Xenopus tropicalis: one gene and its partners. The protein of the gene in region 3 purifies or fractionates together with the protein of the main gene of each other region. This does not show direct contact. Links are inferred from orthologs where the notes say so. Each region holds a gene or a part of one and is shown on either strand. Other genes may lie near its edges. The genes, in order: cep76, cep97, ccp110 and cep290.

What was found.
Region 1: the proteins of ccp110 (region 3) and cep76 purify together in Homo sapiens (co-immunoprecipitation; 4 studies listed by BioGRID and IntAct, with this or other methods). This does not show direct contact. The link is inferred for Xenopus tropicalis from reciprocal best matches to the Homo sapiens genes CCP110 and CEP76.
Region 2: the proteins of ccp110 (region 3) and cep97 purify together in Homo sapiens (co-immunoprecipitation; 10 studies listed by BioGRID and IntAct, with this or other methods). This does not show direct contact. The link is inferred for Xenopus tropicalis from reciprocal best matches to the Homo sapiens genes CCP110 and CEP97.
Region 4: the proteins of ccp110 (region 3) and cep290 purify together in Homo sapiens (co-immunoprecipitation; 6 studies listed by BioGRID and IntAct, with this or other methods). This does not show direct contact. The link is inferred for Xenopus tropicalis from reciprocal best matches to the Homo sapiens genes CCP110 and CEP290.

What each region holds. Positions count from the first base shown.
Region 1 is NC_030682.2:103,535,842-103,540,401, reverse strand, and holds part of cep76 (centrosomal protein of 76 kDa), read right to left. Parts: intron 4,486-4,560; coding exon 4,330-4,485; intron 4,241-4,329; coding exon 4,159-4,240; intron 2,107-4,158; coding exon 1,882-2,106; intron 1,485-1,881; coding exon 1,299-1,484; intron 729-1,298; coding exon 631-728; intron 346-630; coding exon 217-345; intron 1-216. UniProt on the Homo sapiens protein: Centrosomal protein involved in regulation of centriole duplication. Required to limit centriole duplication to once per cell cycle by preventing centriole reduplication.
Region 2 is NC_030678.2:101,957,406-101,961,166, reverse strand, and holds the end of cep97 (centrosomal protein of 97 kDa), read right to left. Parts: coding exon 3,760-3,761; intron 3,358-3,759; coding exon 3,282-3,357; intron 1,774-3,281; coding exon 1,114-1,773; 3' UTR 960-1,113; downstream 1-959. UniProt on the Homo sapiens protein: Acts as a key negative regulator of ciliogenesis in collaboration with CCP110 by capping the mother centriole thereby preventing cilia formation. Required for recruitment of CCP110 to the centrosome.
Region 3 is NC_030685.2:31,828,297-31,832,856, forward strand, and holds part of ccp110 (centriolar coiled-coil protein of 110 kDa), read left to right. Parts: coding exon 1-128; intron 129-765; coding exon 766-890; intron 891-2,165; coding exon 2,166-2,337; intron 2,338-2,698; coding exon 2,699-2,832; intron 2,833-3,006; coding exon 3,007-3,123; intron 3,124-4,143; coding exon 4,144-4,245; intron 4,246-4,560.
Region 4 is NC_030679.2:54,385,166-54,389,725, forward strand, and holds part of cep290 (centrosomal protein of 290 kDa), read right to left. Parts: intron 4,206-4,560; exon of another isoform or gene 4,121-4,205; intron 3,240-4,120; 5' UTR 3,227-3,239; coding exon 3,125-3,226; intron 2,578-3,124; coding exon 2,500-2,577; intron 2,256-2,499; coding exon 2,186-2,255; intron 1,243-2,185; coding exon 1,196-1,242; intron 228-1,195; coding exon 84-227; intron 1-83. UniProt on the Homo sapiens protein: Involved in early and late steps in cilia formation. Its association with CCP110 is required for inhibition of primary cilia formation by CCP110.

The DNA of each region.
Region 1 (4,560 bases), on a different chromosome or scaffold from region 3:
AAATAAACACGTATATTTCCTTTCAAATTGTTTTTTACTGCTCAAATTGTTTAGTTTTAGCTTTTCATGTGTCTATAGTTTCAGATCTTGAATTCTGGACCATAAATGGACAATAATGATACTGTATTGTTTTGTCTGCTATAAAACAATATTATACTGTTACAAATCACATGGACAGTTATTAACACTGCATTTAATTAAAAGTTCACTATAAACCTGTGCAAAAATCTTTACAAGCCTGGAGTTATGTGAAGGGCGAATTTGCAAATATTCTCTCCACCATTGCTTGGCATACACCAGAAAGAGCCTTTCCTTCTCAGCTGTCTTTTGCCGTTCCAAGGTAAACTGTGAACAGATGGTTTTTAAAGAAGTTGGGACCACTTGAAATGAATATTATAGTATTAAGAAAAGCATATCATATCACACTTCCCCTCCTAAATTAGTTTTTGAGGCTAATTTACTAGTGCAGTTTCCCATAGCAGCCGATGAGATCTTTGCATTCATTTTCTAACAAGCAGTAGTTAAATAAAAACATATGCCTAATTAGTAGCTATCATTAACTGCACTGGTGTATTAATGAGAAACCAAATTATATATAAGTACATTAGTAGTACAACTAGCTTTGCATACCTGAGTGTTAATGACTTCCTGGGAAAGTGTTTTGTTTAGTAGTGGATACAGTTCTAGTTTTACATTGAGGATGCCAACAGACACTTTGCATTCAGCACCTTTAAAACATAAGAGATGTTGCCATTAGAACATTTCCATAAATTTTGAATGTATAGGTAAATATAATACATTCTTGATGCTTGAGTTCTAGCTTTGTATTAATCTCTTAGCTAGAGTTATTAAAGGATCAAAGACCAGTTAATACATTCTTCCTTAGGCTGAAGGAACATGGAGTGTTTGCTACACTGCTCTCAGGCTGCATATTCTTGTAGGCTGAGAGAAGTGCATCTCATCCCTTAAGCACCTCAGTAAAAGTACGTTGACAAGTACAGCTTCTGGCTCTGCTCAATTACACGAAGCACAGCAGAGTGGGAGATTGGCCCAAAAATGCTTGCTTTTGTGTTTTGAGGCGAGCAGAGGCGGAAGCTGTACTTCTCAATGCAGTTTTACTGAAGTTCGTAAAGATCTGCTTCTCAGCCTGCAAAAAAAAACGTAGGCTGAGAGTAGTAGAGCATCAAGGCCTAGGCTGATGCCATACACGGCATAAAAATGCAGGCAGAGAATCAGCCCCATGTGGCATCAGCCTTAGGAACAGCTTGGATTCAACATGGACACAATTTATTTCTCACCTACTCCAAGGAGCTCCACAACAAGACTCGTTGCTCCCTTTTCTGTTCCCAGAACTGAGCGCCACTCTAAAAAGTGGGATGAAACTAGTGAGGTTTCACCAGATGTATCTGTCTTTAATAGCACCAGCTGCACAGGGTCACAGATTGATAACATGGTGGTGGCATCAGCCATCCTGCTTCCATCACCTAAAAATGGAAAGAAAAAAGAGCTCTGTCACCAAGTGCCGGTTTCTCAAAATGCTACACACATCACAGTCTAAATCCCCAGTCATATCTAATAATCTACAGATAATACAAATGATACAATATATATTTTCTTAATCCACATATAATTATTTCTGCTAGTTTGCTCAAGACCATTGTATTAGATTTCATAAAAACCAGCATCTTCTGAGCTCAATTTGTTTCGGTTTTAGAAAAATTCACTCCTGTTACTTTTTCTTTCCTTCAAATAATCCCAAACCAGTTATAAATCACCATGGTTTAGCTGTCTCTATCAGGAACTGGGATTAAAAAACATGTCAAAAACAAAAAACATTCACAGCATTTTGGAGATAAAAATATTCCAAGCATGCAGTGTTACCTAAGCTGTCTTTGTGCACTTCTAGCAAGAAACCATCCTGGAAGTCCGGTTCACAAGCACAGGGTACAGGCTTTGAGCGAAATCTTTGGTTTCTAAAGTGTAGGCAGAGAGTAAAGGTAGAGCAGGCTTGACCTGGAAGGGGATCAGATTCTTGCAGGTGCTCGAGAAAAGCTTTTCCACTTAAAACCTGAAGATGAAGGTATCTACGTGTAGGGTCAACATTAGCTGGAAAAAATACAAAATATTTTTGGCCTTACTGTAGTCTATTTTAATTGTAACATCAGTATGAGAAAGAAGAAAGGCTTAAGTGAGTAAAACTTTTATACACTGTATGAAGATTTGTACAGTTATGGAACCGGTTATCCAGAATGCTCAGGACCTGGACTTTTCTTCATAAAGTGTCTTTCTGTAATTTGGATTTCCATATCTTAAATCTGCTAAAAACATTTAAACATTAAATAAATCCAATTGGATTAATTATACCCAAGTTAGGATCAAGTACAATATTAATTTTATAATTTAATAATAATTTAAAAAAAAAAATTTTTAGAAAGGACTTTATGGGAGATGGCCTTCACTTTATTCTGAGCTTTCTGGATAACTGGTTTCTGGATAAGGGATCCCATAACCCAATAACTTGGTTACACATTACACTGGTCTCTCTGCCTACTGAGTAATCCACCAATATATTTTGTTTTTGAAGCAAAACATTGTATTTTTTAATTAAATTAATTTTTAAAAAATGTTTATGTTATACTCAAGGGGTCATTCTAAAGAATTAAAAAATACCTATTAAAATATAAATTAAATATGCATGACATTGTCTATATTCTTTCTAACAATGATGCATTTTTTGGCATGACAACAAAAGAGCGAGCAGGTACGAAACTTTAAAGGGATACTGTCATGGTTTTTATGGTATACTTTTTATTTCTAAATTACACTGTTTACATAGCAGATAATTCACTCTACTATTGAAAACTTGATTCTGGAACCAACAAATGTATTTTTTTTTTAGTTGTAATATTGGTGTGTAGGCAGCCATTTTAGTGCATTGTGCCTCAGTCTGAGCTTTCAGAAAGCTCTACACATAAGAACTGCTTTCAGCTAACCTATTGTTTCTACTACTTCTAAAACCTATTGTTTTACTACCATGCAACTGGAGGAGTCCCAAGCCAGACTTGGATTTCTTACTATTGAGTGCTATTCTAATATCTACTGGGAGCTGATATTTTGCTGCCTTCCTATTGTTCTGCTGATCGGCTGCTGGGAGGGGGGTGATACCACTCCAACATGCAGCTCAGCAGTAAAGTGCGATGAAGTTTATCAGAGCACATGTCACATGGCTGTGGCACCCTGGGAAATGAAGAATATGGCTAGCCCCATGTGAAATTTCAAAATTAAATATGAAAAAATCTGTGTTTATGAAAAATGGATTTCAGTGCAGGATTCTGCTGGAGAAGCTCTATTAACTGATGTGTTTTGAAAAAAAAAAACTTCCTTTAAATAGTTGTCATCATCCCATAATACCAGTGTTGTGCAGCTTGATTTGAAAGTCAAGATCAAACAATGTATGTATATTTTAAATATAAGCTCTTTTACCTAGTATCAGGGCACAGGACTGCAGTGCAATTTATCATAGACAGCAAACTTATGGCTCATAATTTACAATCATTTAATAGCTGTTGGCCATGGAAAGCAGCACAGTATATCCAGACACTAGAAAAACTTTTATTTAACATTCACAGTTATTTGCATTTCGGAAAGCCTGCATTCACAACATTTAAATCTGTTAAGCTTTCTCTTTCCCTTTAATGCTCTAGCCCCAATATGCAATAAAAGTCTGCCCAGGAGCAGTAACCCATAGCAACAAATAACGTGTTGGCTTTTAAACAGGTGACCAGTAAATGCTACCTGCTGATTGGTTGCTATGGGTTACTGCTCCTGGGCAAACTTAGAAACTTTTATTACATAACCCCATAAAAGTTTCTGTTTATTAGACAACTTGGCTGATATTAAACAACTGCCATGTATTGAATGGTCAGATATTGACTGATTTGACTAATTGCATAGACCACTGTACCTTGTTGCAAGCTTTGGTCAGCAAATTAGTTAAATAAACAAATCAGAAAAAAATGACAGGAAGCTGCTGCCCCACTCTTCTGGATCTACAGCTACCACATGAGTCAAGCCGGGGTATTTTCAGAGACACCGAGAACTGCAATATGCAGCCTGTACCTGTACAAAACCTGTATACTATAAATACGACTAGCTTACTTTTTTTTAGTGTTCTTGGTTCTTTGTCAATAAAATGTGTGGCTGGCTTTGGTGTAGATGTTAATTCCCTGGTATCCCTGTCCTAAATTAAATAAAACAAATATTACATTAGGAAGTGCATTTCATGAATCTAATAAAAGCACACATTTTTTAACACCCTCCCTAACTCACCTCCATAAAATGAAGTTCCTTCATGACTTCATCAACAATACCTCGCTGCCTTAAGGCTTTCATCAGATCTTCCTCCGATAACTGCTGGCTTTCTGTCCTAAATTCTTCTCTTAACGATTCTGCCAAGACTTCTCGTATTTTGCCGTGCACATCCATCTACAACCACCAAAATGATCAATGATCTTAATTATGTTGTATGCTGTATCGGCACTGTTTTTTTTATTTCCCATT
Region 2 (3,761 bases), on a different chromosome or scaffold from region 3:
GGGTAGTATTACCCTGGACATAAATACATCCTTCCAAAAAAAATGTGTCAGGCCTATAGTCTGTAGGTTTGGTGAGTTTTTACCCACTCACCTATCCTACAAAGACACCAAAAATTAAGGGAGAATGAGATTAAATCACCCCCCACACTCTTCAAATAAAATGTCAGATAGTTAAGTGGGCGATACAGATTTGTGACTGAGGACTCCTCCACTGAGTTATTGGATCAATTGTTAGCAGTGGTGCTACTGGGCCACAGTTTATATGTGTAAAAATAAAAAAAAGATTGAAGTGTGATTGAGTTGTCAACCTGTAAGAGGGATAATAACCTGACTCAGAGCTGCAGTTGCATTTCCATAAGTGATTGGAAAGATTGTAACACAGTCCGGCCATATTGGTGCATTTTTTCAATTCCTGTGTACATGTGACATTTATCTTGAAAGGCATATCAACTTTTACTAACATTTTCCTGTACTATTCCAATAACTATCTTTACAGTAGTCATATTTAGTATCTTGGATGCTACGTTTGTCAAAATGTTTTCTGAGGTACTGGAGAGTCAAACTACATAAGAAATACAAAGCCGTTCAAACTGGCTTTAATAGCCACATATTTTATATAACCTGGATATTTTCTTCTGATTTCTTTACTGCTGAAATTACAGACTCTAGACTGATTCCTCATATTGTCTGTGAGAACAAGATGAATAACAGTTCAAGAAAAGGTGCTGCATTTACCTTTGCTTTTCCTGGTGTACTGTATGATATGTTTCTTTTTTAACACTGCTAATAGACGATAACAGTTTGGTAGAAGATATTTAAGGCATAGTTAAAATACATGCAAAGTTAATTCTGCTTTCCATCAACATGCACACTGCACAGTTCACTCACATATACTTTGTTATACTACCTACACTGTATGAAATAGCAGTATACAGAAAATAGATGCTTGTTGCAGAGGATTGTACATAAATATGGAATTTATTGAACAGAAAGATGGCATGATGTGCTTTTAGTAAAATGGTGTGATAATTTAAAGTGCATAAAAGTAGAAGAGATTCTCAAATTCAGTTCCACACGAAAGTCAATAAACCAATTCTGCTGACACACAGGTACTTAAAGGACTAATTCTGGCTGTGGCACTGGTAAACCAGAATCACATGTTTTTTGTGTGCTTTGTCCATCATCTATAGAAGGTAAGTTGCTATGTATGTCAGTGTTTTCCTGCTTACTGTTTTCAGGTAGGAAGTGGGAGATGCTGCAGGACAAGTCAGAATTGTCTGAACAATTGGTAATTTCAGGTCTACTTTCCTCAGTCCTGTCACTGTAGCTTGTATTATCTTCAGTCTCATCCAGCTGCTCAACAGACTTTAGATACTGCTGCAGAAGACTGCTGTCCTGCTCACTGGTGAAACTTTCTTTGCTGCTATGGCTTTGCTCTTCTCTAGTCAAATCGTGTTCTGAAGGGCTGTCTGGTGCCTTGTCATTGTAATGTCGAACGGTATCCAGAGAGGGCTGAGAATATTCGCTTTCCTCAGAGGAATTCTTCTCAGTACTATTCAGGGTGCAGTGATTCAATATGACAGAGTGAAACCCAGAGTCTGGGATGTCTGGTGATGTTTTTCTATTCAGCTTTTCAGGGATTAAAGCATTACAAGAAGGTATCTCTTCCAAAACAGGATTGTCATGCTTTGAATTACTGAGTGGTTGAAAATCATTACAACCATTGGCAGTTTGCCATTTTACTGTATTTTGCCATTGTTGTATGGCTTGTACCTGTGAAATAGAAGAGAAATTTTAATCTGAAGTTTTTGGTGTATTTTACTAAAGGAAAATCACTAGCTGCTACACAACCTTGCAAGAACAGACCTACTTTTTTGTCTAAAGCTGGCCACACACATGAAGATCCACTTGTTTATCAAGGTCTCCAAACAAGCATATCTTTCAAAGACGTGCCCACCTTGGGGTTTACAATACCAAGCAGACCCAATTGCTTGGAGCTTAGGCCAATGATAAGATCATAACTGCTGCTATGTAGGCAGTCGGATTGAGGACAGCATCATTGCGCAGATATTGGTTGGGTAGACCCGTTGGAGGGACCAATACACAAGCAGATAAGTTTACAAATTGGTCTGAAGGGCCTGAATCTGCAGCTTGCCACTGCATCTTTACTACTTCAAATGCTAAAACACTAAGGGGCACAAGAGAGGCAGTCTAACCAATTTATACCTTGCAAAATGCAGCATGCAAGTTGCAAAAAAAAAAAAAAAAAAAAAAAAAGGTGCAGGGGAGAAAAATGTATAGAGCAAAAAAGCAGATGGAAAAAGAAGGATAAAGCATAAGAAAATAAAAAGAAAAATGTGTGGAAAGTGGGTATGGTAGGTTAATGGAGCAATTACAGTAATGTCAATGTGTCGCAGGTGTTATAGCTGTGCTACCCTGGTTCCATTCCCATCTTTTCAGCTTTTATGCTGCAATGTGTTCTGGAGAAGGTTAGAATGAAGCTGTTGTTTCAAATTATAAAAAAAGTATCTATTGAATAGAAGTGATTTAAGGGGTGTGGCAAAAGGTAGATGCGGCCTAAAAATCCTCAGCGTGCAAAGTACACGGCACCTCAGGGCCGCTTTACGGTACCAACAGGCCCTGGGTAAAATTTAGTTGGCGGGCCCCGACTGCACCAGGAAATTTGTCATAAGTACATGAGGTTCAATACAGTAAGGCAGCCAGTGAAGAAATGGTCTGCTGTTAAGGAAGTAGACATGATGCCTAGGTGTGCCACCATGGACTGACAGCACAGGGAGCAAATTACAAAATGGTGATGCCACAAGAAAAAGGCAAATAAATTAAAATAATCACACTACTGTAGAGCTCTTCGACTTAATTAAAATGAAGGGTCTGCCACTTCTGCCAAAAGTTATCCTAGATGAAAGGTGTGCTAGTTGGCCCCGTTTACAGGTGGCCCTGGGAAAATGCGCCTTTTGCCCAATTATTTAAAATGGCCACACCACACTACCTTTCCCCAGTTTTTCATTCAACATTTGATAACCTTACTTCAGAATAGCAATGTTTTTTGGAAAGCACACATTTTAAACAATTCAAAATAGATAAAAAAAAAAAAAAAATCTTTTTACTCCAAACTACCTAACTGGAAAGCTTTGTCTTATCACACAGAGCGTGATTATGCAGTGTGATGAGATCTTACACTAGTCACACTGGAAAATATTATATTTTGCAATATAATGTACGTAAATTGTTAAAGAGTAAAAAAGTAATTCAAAACATACCTGTTCCCAAAGGTACCTCACGGCTTCCCCTTGCACAAGTCTTTGTATTCGCTCCTCTTCTTTCTCTTTTTTTAGCCTACAGCACAGACACAAGGGACCAGATTTATAAGCTACTTATTTACTGTCATTGGAAAAACAATTTTGACTAAAAAAACAATGCTAAAGAATAAAGAATTTTCTTCAGTAACTGCATTGGAAGACCATGTTGCTACAAGTGTTTTCCCTTTCCACTGCAAATAATAAAACTGGCAAGGAGGTCCGTTGTAATTGATATCAAAACTACTACTATCCTGGATGTCAAAAACTGAAGTCATTCTGGCTAACTGTGTCACTGCTATAGAGCACATAGCTGTTACTAGAAATTTGTTTGGGCTATGCTTTTTGAGAAAATTCTTTTTTTTTTTTGTTCAAAGCAGGTCAGTGTAGTAAATAATAAAAATGGTATTTACACATTAACCAATAACAAGTAGAAACTCACCT
Region 3 (4,560 bases):
TAGACTTGAACTAGACTTAGACACCACACCACCTGCCTCTGGCGAACAAAAGAGGTGGCTTCATAAGCAGAGGAACCGGAGTGGGTCTCTGCAGATGACTTCTACTGATCTGAGCAAAGGTAGTCTAGGTAAGGAGATGAATTGCTACAAGACAATAATTGTACATGATGTGGATGGTGATTTGTCAGTTCTCAAAAAGACACATTTTAGTAGTGTTGGTGGACAGTTAAATGAATATTTCTCTGATCATGCCTTCTAATATGTTCCACTTATTAAATAGAATATCTCTCTCTTAAGTTATGATTACTGAATTGTCACAAAGTAAATATATCCATTCCATTTGGTATTCAAAAAACTTGGACATATTCAAAGTGCTCTTTCCTCATTACTCTTCAGTCTACCATTCAAACCACTTACTGTATCTCATTTCATGGGTTAGTGACCCAAGACATTAAAACTGGGATTAGAATCCCAGTGTAGGACAAGTAGAAGAGGTCAAAGGGAACAAGAAAGAATAATTTAAAATAGATGGTAAATTAAATATGATTGCCTATGCTATGGTAATTAAAATTACAGTCCAACTTTGTTTGTAGTAAATACTTTATAAATAATTGAAGCCTAGCTCATTAAATGCATAGAATAATAATAATATTCTCTTAATATTTGCCTTCATATGTGTGAGCGGTTGCTACCATATTCTCAATGAAACTCTCACAGAAGGAATGATTCACAATATGCCATGCCTTTTTTTTTTGTCTGACCTAGGAGATCATTTTAAAAAGAAGATGCTTGATTTTGAAGAAATGAGAAAGAAACTAGAAGAGCAGCATGCATACCAGCTGTCATTGCTCATCGCTGAACAGGAAAGAGAACAAGAGAAACTAAAAAGGGTGATTTGTTTTGTGTTTGTAATGAATGTTTAGGCAAGGTTTGCAGTTTTTGTAGTATCTTGCTGGATTACTGTGAAGGAATGGCCACATAAAGAGATCTCTATTATAAGGCATTTCAGACAGTTCTGTCAAAAATTGCCATCCCTGTGTAATATACCTGCTCTACCTCCTCCCACCCAACTTCTCTCCAATTATACTACTATGGGGCCGATTCACTAAAGGTCGATAAGTGTTATCGCATGTTTTTTTGCGTTAAAATTGACGCGTTAAATAACGACTGATTTGTCAAAGTAATTTCGCATGCTTTAAATCGTGCGCTACAGCAATGCGTTAATTCTCGCATAGAAATAATACTAACACATGATTCACAAACACATATGAAGCGTTAAACACGCTAAATATCACATTAGTCTGTGTGAAGGTTAACACCTACTTGGGGCAGGCGGTACTTAAAGAAAATTGTGGTTTGTAAACTTTTGGCAACACAATATGGACTTTGCAGTGGGATTTGTTCAAGTCTGTGTTGGCCCTAGAGTGATGCAGCCTCCAGATTTTAGGGAAATGGTCATTTTTAAAGTAGTTTTACGAACATTTTAACGCATGCTATAAATAGCGCTGGGTTTAATGACCTTTAGTGAATCAGCCCCTATGTGTCCATCATATCTTTGTGCTCTCCTCTCTCCTTTGATGTCCTTTCTTTCAATTTCTTGCTCTGAACACCATCACGCTCTGTCCCATCACTGTCCCTGTTGCTGATTCTCTCTTACCATGTGTTGCATGCCTCAGTGTTCTGCCCTCTCCCTGCACCTGTCTCCTTATCTCTTTTGCTTCAAATTCAACTTGCTGTCCCCAAGTCCCCTTTCCCTCTGCATATCAATTACGCTAATCATGTTCCTCTCCTTGCACACGAACCTTAACCTTCTATGTAACAGTGCCACTGCTGCATGTAATCTTCCTGCACCATTCCTCTGTCCTCCCATTAACAAAACTGCACAGGTTCATTTGCCTGCCAATTTAATATCCTGGCTGCTTTACCTCTACCACCTTCTGTTCTTTATTTCTTTTCTTCCTGCACCTCCATGCTCTCCTCCTCTATGACCCATACCTTCCCCAATTTTGCTCTCTGTCTTCTGCACCCTCATACTCTGTTCTGCACCTCCTTCTCCATTTCCTCAGGCGCTGTTCTACCAGCTTCCTATATGTATGAAAATCAAGCTTTTTTTCTAGTCTTGTTTATTTGAAAACTAATGCAGAATTTGTTGATTTGCTCTTTAGGAGTTTGAAGAAGAAGAGAAGCAACTGAAGCTAAAGGACACTGAAAGTTCCACTCATACATTAGACCATGGCAGTAGGATTACTGACAGAAATAATATTACTGAAAGCAGTGTACAAGAAAGAGTGTCATTTCCAGTGGATAATTATCATTCATGTTCCACCTATAGCACAGGTAAAACTGCATTATATTTTTACTACTTTATAGAGGGGTTTCGCATAGCTAGAATTCCAATTTTGCCTGTTGAAAGAAAATTTAATTTAAAGCAATTTCCCAATATGTGTTACTTACAAATTTTTATTGATTTTAAAATTATTTGCAATGAAAGCAGATTCCCTTTCTGATGTGTGTAGTGCTGGTCTCTTGACAGACTATAGCAGAAGACAGCTGAATAACAGGCCTATGAGCAATTGTTGCCAAAAAAACAAGCAATAACTTTGAAGACCTTATAATACCTGATTGGTCATATTTGTTTCTAGTTGATTTATTTAAGAACAAATGCTGATGGTAGGATATTTCTACTCTTGCTCAACAGTTTCTGCTACTTCCCAACATAGCTATGGTTCTGCAAACGAATCTTCATTGGGTTTGTGGGGACCTGTAAAAAGCAGAGCTCCAAGCACATCGATCTCAAGTTCTCATGGGAGACTAAAAACCAGATGGTCTCAGGTAACTTGCTTATTGGGACCCTGTCTTTAATGAACTGGTGATGACTTGCTGGAATTGCAGATGGCCTCTCCATATTAGCAGTGGATTGGGAGTTCTAGAATTTTTTTTTTTTTCTCTCATTATTACCCAAGTAATGGGTAAAGCTACTGTGTTTTTTTGTTTTTGTTCCTAAAGGTTTACAGTCCTGCAATGCAGAGGAAATTTAACAAAGCTACAGCACTTGCAAAAGGCTTCCTTACACGTAGACTTATGCAGACAGAGAAGCTAAAGAACCTGAAAAAAACTGTGAAGGTATGGCCTTTATTTTCTCACCTCGATTCACATTTTTACAAAATTCACCACAAAGTTCCAATTAAGTTCCTGCAATTAGAGCAGAGTTTTATATAGAATGCAGAATCAACCATGCCAGCTGTAAATGTATTCTGTATTCTTTAGACATTGTTTTCATATCTGGCATATCATACTGTCAGATGATGCCCTCTTTTGGCTCTTATAAGGAAGTTGTGACCCTACAAGTGGCTATGGAAAAGAAAGTTGTATCCAAGAGATGATGAGACTAGTTCTAGATGAGACTAGAACTTCCGCAGCATCAAACACCTTTAAATGGGCTACAAGGATAAAAAGTGGAAATATACTGTTTTAGGCTGTTGGCATACTCCATGTGTGGAATCTTCAGCCTTCAACCAACTGTTGCACAGTACTGAAAATCTTGCCAGTTATGCTGGTTTGTGATGTAATCAATAGGAAGCTACAGGCTGTACATCTACATGCCTATGGCATGATTCTCTCATTTGGCATGCTAGCTAACAAACTGGATTTGTAGAAGTTACCATACATATTGACAGCACTTGATGGCTCGAGGCATGTATATTAAGAAAAATGTAATTTATTCCTGTACTGGAATGCAATCATGAGAAGATTAAACAGTGCTACTAAAAAACCCTAAAAACTTGCTAGTCCTAATCAGATAGAAATGTGTGTTTTGCTAACTGCTCATTTCAGTATATGTAGCCCTAATTACCTGGATTTTTACCTACTTTGCTATGCAGTATCCCTGGTAAGACCTTTGGCACTGGGAACCAAATAAGAATATGAAAATTTCCCTTTTTTTAATATAAATTCTACAGTAAAACAAGGCCAGTTGTGCAGTTATGTTGCATCAGTTGGAGGGTGGATTTATTACAAATTGTAGCACTTTATATTACATTATAGTATATTACATGCTATTTTTAAGTACAGGCCAACTTATAATTTAAACTGCTAATGTTTGCATTGGATAACATTTCCATTTTGTGTTTCTTAACTAATTAGGACACTGCAGAGTTTATGAGAACATTTCAATCTGAATTTCCACTAAGCCGAGGGATGGTATCTTCCCAAGATGCTTCACTGCAGGAAAGAGTTCTAGCCCAAGTAAGTACAGTGATTATGCAGGCATTTATTTAATATTGTTTAATGCATGAACATCAGCCAAAACATTTAGTATAGTAATATTAACCTGCTAGTCTACAACTCTTAGCATTCTGAGAGCTGTAGGAGAGCTTTTGGTTGCCTGTCCCTGTTTCACTGTAATGTATTTGAAATCAAATTTTCCATATTCTACTTTGTCCCAACCTCAGATTTGAATTGACTGGCCCTATTATCCGGAAAGCAAGTTCATACCCTGAATCCTTTGTGAAAGATTTGGCCAAATCGTGTGAATTGATTTTGCACGTGCTTTAATTTTTT
Region 4 (4,560 bases), on a different chromosome or scaffold from region 3:
AGTATCTTCCAATAACAACACTGTTTAGCTTCACAAAATATACCGACACAAATGAAAGGAAGGTGGTCATTGATATAACTTACTTGTTCATTAACTTGTTTCTCCCTTTCCAACTCATTTGCCATATCTTTGCATTCTCTCTCACTCTGACGCAACTGCTCCTCCAGCTGTCTAATTTCTTCACGCAAAAAACGTGAATCTCTGCTACCAGAGGATAGCTGTGCCACCTGTTTTAAAAACAAGAAAAAATACATTCTAATATTTGAACTTTGCCTTTCAAATTGAACAACTTTAAACTGAGGTTATCTATATCCTAAAAATCTGTAGAAGAGAAATGTATCCTATATAATGTAAACTAGCAAGGTTAAGCTTTTGAGGAGTTACAAGTTTGTAATGTCACTTTTTAGACTAATAAAATGTATTATTTACAAATATGCATAATCTTATATGCAGTGTGATTTTTTACTCTCTGTATATTTGCATTAATTGCCTTTGCATGTATTGGCTTTAGAGGATTGAGTCATATTGGCTGTTACTGAGGTTTACTAAATAAAAATCAAGATAGAAGCTGTATAAATGATATCTATATAAAGAATATTAACCGTTTGCTTGCTGATGCCATATGTGCTACATCGACAGCAAAGTGACAGCCTGCCAAAAAAAATATACGTCACATACAGTACAGACAAAATAGTTTTCAACCCTTAAAGGAGAAAGAAAAGTGCAATTACTTGGGGGTACCAAAATGTTAGGCACCCCCCAGTGATTGTAATCACTTATCTTATACCCCGGGCTGGTGCTCCTGTTAGAAGAAAACCGCACCAGTCCGAGGTAGCGATCCTCTTCCTTCTTCTGTCTTCATGCCAACAGCGCATACTCAGTAAAGTGAAAAGCCGAACTTTAATTTAAAAAGTGGTGTTTCCACTCTACTGCACATGCGTTTGTCACTAAGAAACAAGACAGGAGGAGGAGGATCACTCGTTCGCAGCTACCCTGGGCTGGTGCAGTTTTCTCCTAACAAGAGCACCGGCCAAGGAATAATGTAAGCGATTACAATCACTTGGGGGTGCTTTGCACTTTGGGACCTCCCCAGTAATTTTACCTTTCCTTCTCCTTTAACACAAAACAGGAGTGCTTTAAAATATATGACATGAAAAAAAAAGTGATAATAAAGATCTATAGAAGAGAAACTCACCTCGATTTCATTCTCCAGACGCTTTACTCTGTTTCTTAATTGGTTTTCTGTCAAATGAAACAGGAAATATTAATCAAAAATGAAGCTGCAGGGCTATCTATGAATTAAGTAAAATGGCCAAAGAGAGTGCCGATTCTACCAAAAACATCACCTTTCGTTTTATGTAGGGCCCTTAGGAAAGTAGTTTCAACCATAGTCATAATAAACAGACAAGTATTTTGTCTGAATTTCCAGAAAACAAAAAGTAATGGTTATTTTATTAACCTTTTATTTTCTCACTTGCTATATAATTATCAAATAAACTGCTTTATGGAGAAAATTCAAAAACATCACAACTGCACCTTAGTATGAGATTAGAATGATTCCCGTCTAGCGATGAAGAGCCTTGTGTGATAATGCCCTAAAGCACCTATGCTGCAGTGCAAACTATCCCAATCTGGCTAGCCTTTCTTCATAACAGAGAAATTAGAGACCCTTTATCTAGTTAGTTGTCCGGACTTTATTTCAATAGTGTCCCTTTTTCAGCTCTGAAGACCAAAACTACATAGCATTTTTCATATGCGGCTTTACTACTGAATTGTAAAGAATAAGAATAAGCACTGCTCCCAAGCTGTGAACAATAATTCTGATTGTAAAACATGCTTGTATATTCCCTCTCCCCCCCCCCCCCCATTCCTTTCTGTACCCTCACCTATCCCATGTTAAAATGATAAATAAAGAATATACAAAAAAAAAAAAGAATAAGCACTGCTCCCATGGAACCATTCCTAATACCCACTGAAGTAATGATTGTAAGGTGCTAAACTTTGCTTTTCTAATATTTTAGAAAATCATTTAGGCAATTTTCTTCTGTTTTTTTTTTTTGTTTTGTTTTTAACACAAAACCACACAGGCTAGCAGTAATGTGTGTTTTATGAATACTTCAATACCTACAAAATGACAATTTTGTTTTGTTTTTTCCAAATACTCATAATGTTTTGTGACACATACCAGTTTTCAGTTGTTCTTCATTTGCCTTCTCTGCTTCTTCTAACAATAATTGTACCTCTTGAGCCTTTAACTAAACAAGAAAGTAGAAAACATTAATATCAGAAAAATATTTAAATTTCTGAAAAATTCCATCAAGAAAACCATTATTTTGATAATGTTAAAGTCTTTTCATCAGTTTCCATTGAAGGGACAAATGGAGCTTTAAACCCATTGTCAACTAGATGACTACTACAATTGCATAATGCTATATACTTGCTGTGAACTACTGACAAAATAAAGTTACAAAAAAAGAGCAGTTATGTGAGGAAGCATACCTTCATCAAGCATTGTGAAATTCGAAACAGCTGTATCAAGTTTTCATTTGGTTCATCTTTTATATCTGTGCTTTTGACCTAAGAAAGACAAATCATTTTTTGTTAAAAAAAATTACAAAATTCAGAATGATGTCTGTTCCTAATATAAAAGGGATAAATACTATTCACTTACGGATAAATTCAATAAAGGTGCAGAATATACGTTTTGCCTATTATTTTAATCAGAAAAAAAAGCTTTTTGTTATTTCTTGAGCTACACAGGAAAATTGAAGCCACTTCATGTTTGGTTCAAATAATCCCCCTACATAATGGTCAACTTTTTATCCATACACTGCTACTCTCATTATCTACCTAGCAGAACTAAACACAAGTAGCTTCAAATTTCTGTTGCCCTGTTTGGCTTAAATAATAACAAAAAAACACAGGTTTGTTAATAAAGCAAATGACAAAAAGTTTATTTAAAAAAAATCCTATTCACTAAACTCATGTAAATATGTGATGGTCTCATCACCTGTACCATTTGTAACCTTAGTTTGTATATTTAATAATACTTGCTCTTTGTGCTCTGTGTTTAAAACGTCTATAATTTTTAACTTTGTGACTGGTAAAACACCAGTAGACAAACCATTGATATCGTAGTTTGCATTTCATTGGCTGTTCTTTCTTGATTGGGAAGAGCATCTGGGTCCACTTTCATGAGTCTTCCCCAATCCAAAGAAGGCGGCATCTTTAAGGACTTTCTGGTAATATAAAGAACAATATTTACTTAAAGAGAAGTAAATCATTTGGTTATTAAAGCAAGGCTATCATTTCCATTGGTAAAAAATAGTTGTTTTTACTAGAAACAGACTAGTGTTTAAAGTGTTGTTCACCTTTAATTTCCAAATCTTATTAAATTGTTCTTAGAGTGCTGGAAAATCCATTACAAAAAGTACAAAGACACTGAAAAAGCTACTTTTTATACCTGCCAAATGTCCTTCTCTGATCTGTTTTCTGACGGGATGGGAGTGGCCTATTTTGACCCTGACACACTGACAACTTATATGCTTACATTGTCACGTCGAGGCTTTGCCTTTATTTTTTTCCTATTTGACCAATTCAATAGTTGCTTGTGCACTCTAACCAGAAGCATAAATTAAAAAGTTAGATTTGCCACAGGCACAGGAAGCAATGTTAGACTGACAGGAGACACAGCCAATAGGAGTTAAGTCTGCTGTCAGTACTATGCATGACATCACATAAGTAAAAAAGCAACTGTACTGTTTATAGAGGTCAATGCACCCCCCCCCAACCCCTCTCCCTCTTATACTGGGGCCCCCGAGGCTGCCCCCATTAATCTCACGGAGCAGTGGGGAGAGGCGTGGCGCCCCCTAAATTTGTGCCACCCTAGGCCTGGGCCTTTCTGACCTCACCACAAATCCGGGCCTGCCCCCAACACAGGATCTGTGCAGAAGTGAAGAATCAGCAGAGGGATTATTCTGAGGTGCTACACAATTTTTGTTAACTTTCTATATGGCAAAAATTGTTCTATTAATGCAAACTGTTAGATTTGTGAATGTTGTACAACCCCTTTAAAACTCAGAATGCCAGTAGACTATTAAACAAAAAAAAAAATAAGTACCACAGTTTTCAACTGAGTTTATGAGGCAGCGGAAGGTAAGTGCCAAATGCAGATGGATAGCATCAAGTCTTAAGGAGAGTACAGAAATGTAGTAAATTTCTTGGAACATACGCTGAAGCATATTTAATACAGAAAACAGGTGTCAAATTGGATTTGTTGCAAATGAGAGTTCTGTAGAAGTCCTGTTTGGCCTTTGACAGAGCAAAGGTATAGCAGGTGAAATGTATAATGAATGAAGCCTGCTTGTGTATGCTTGTAGGATAACAGTGTATCAAAGAAATGCACTTAAAGGAACAGTAACATCAAAAAATGAAAGTGTATAAAAGTAACTAAAATATAATGTGCTGCTGCCCTGCACTGGTAAAAGTTGTGTGTTTACTTCAGAAACCCTACTATAATTTATATAAATAAGCTGCTATGTAGCCATGGAGGCAGCCATT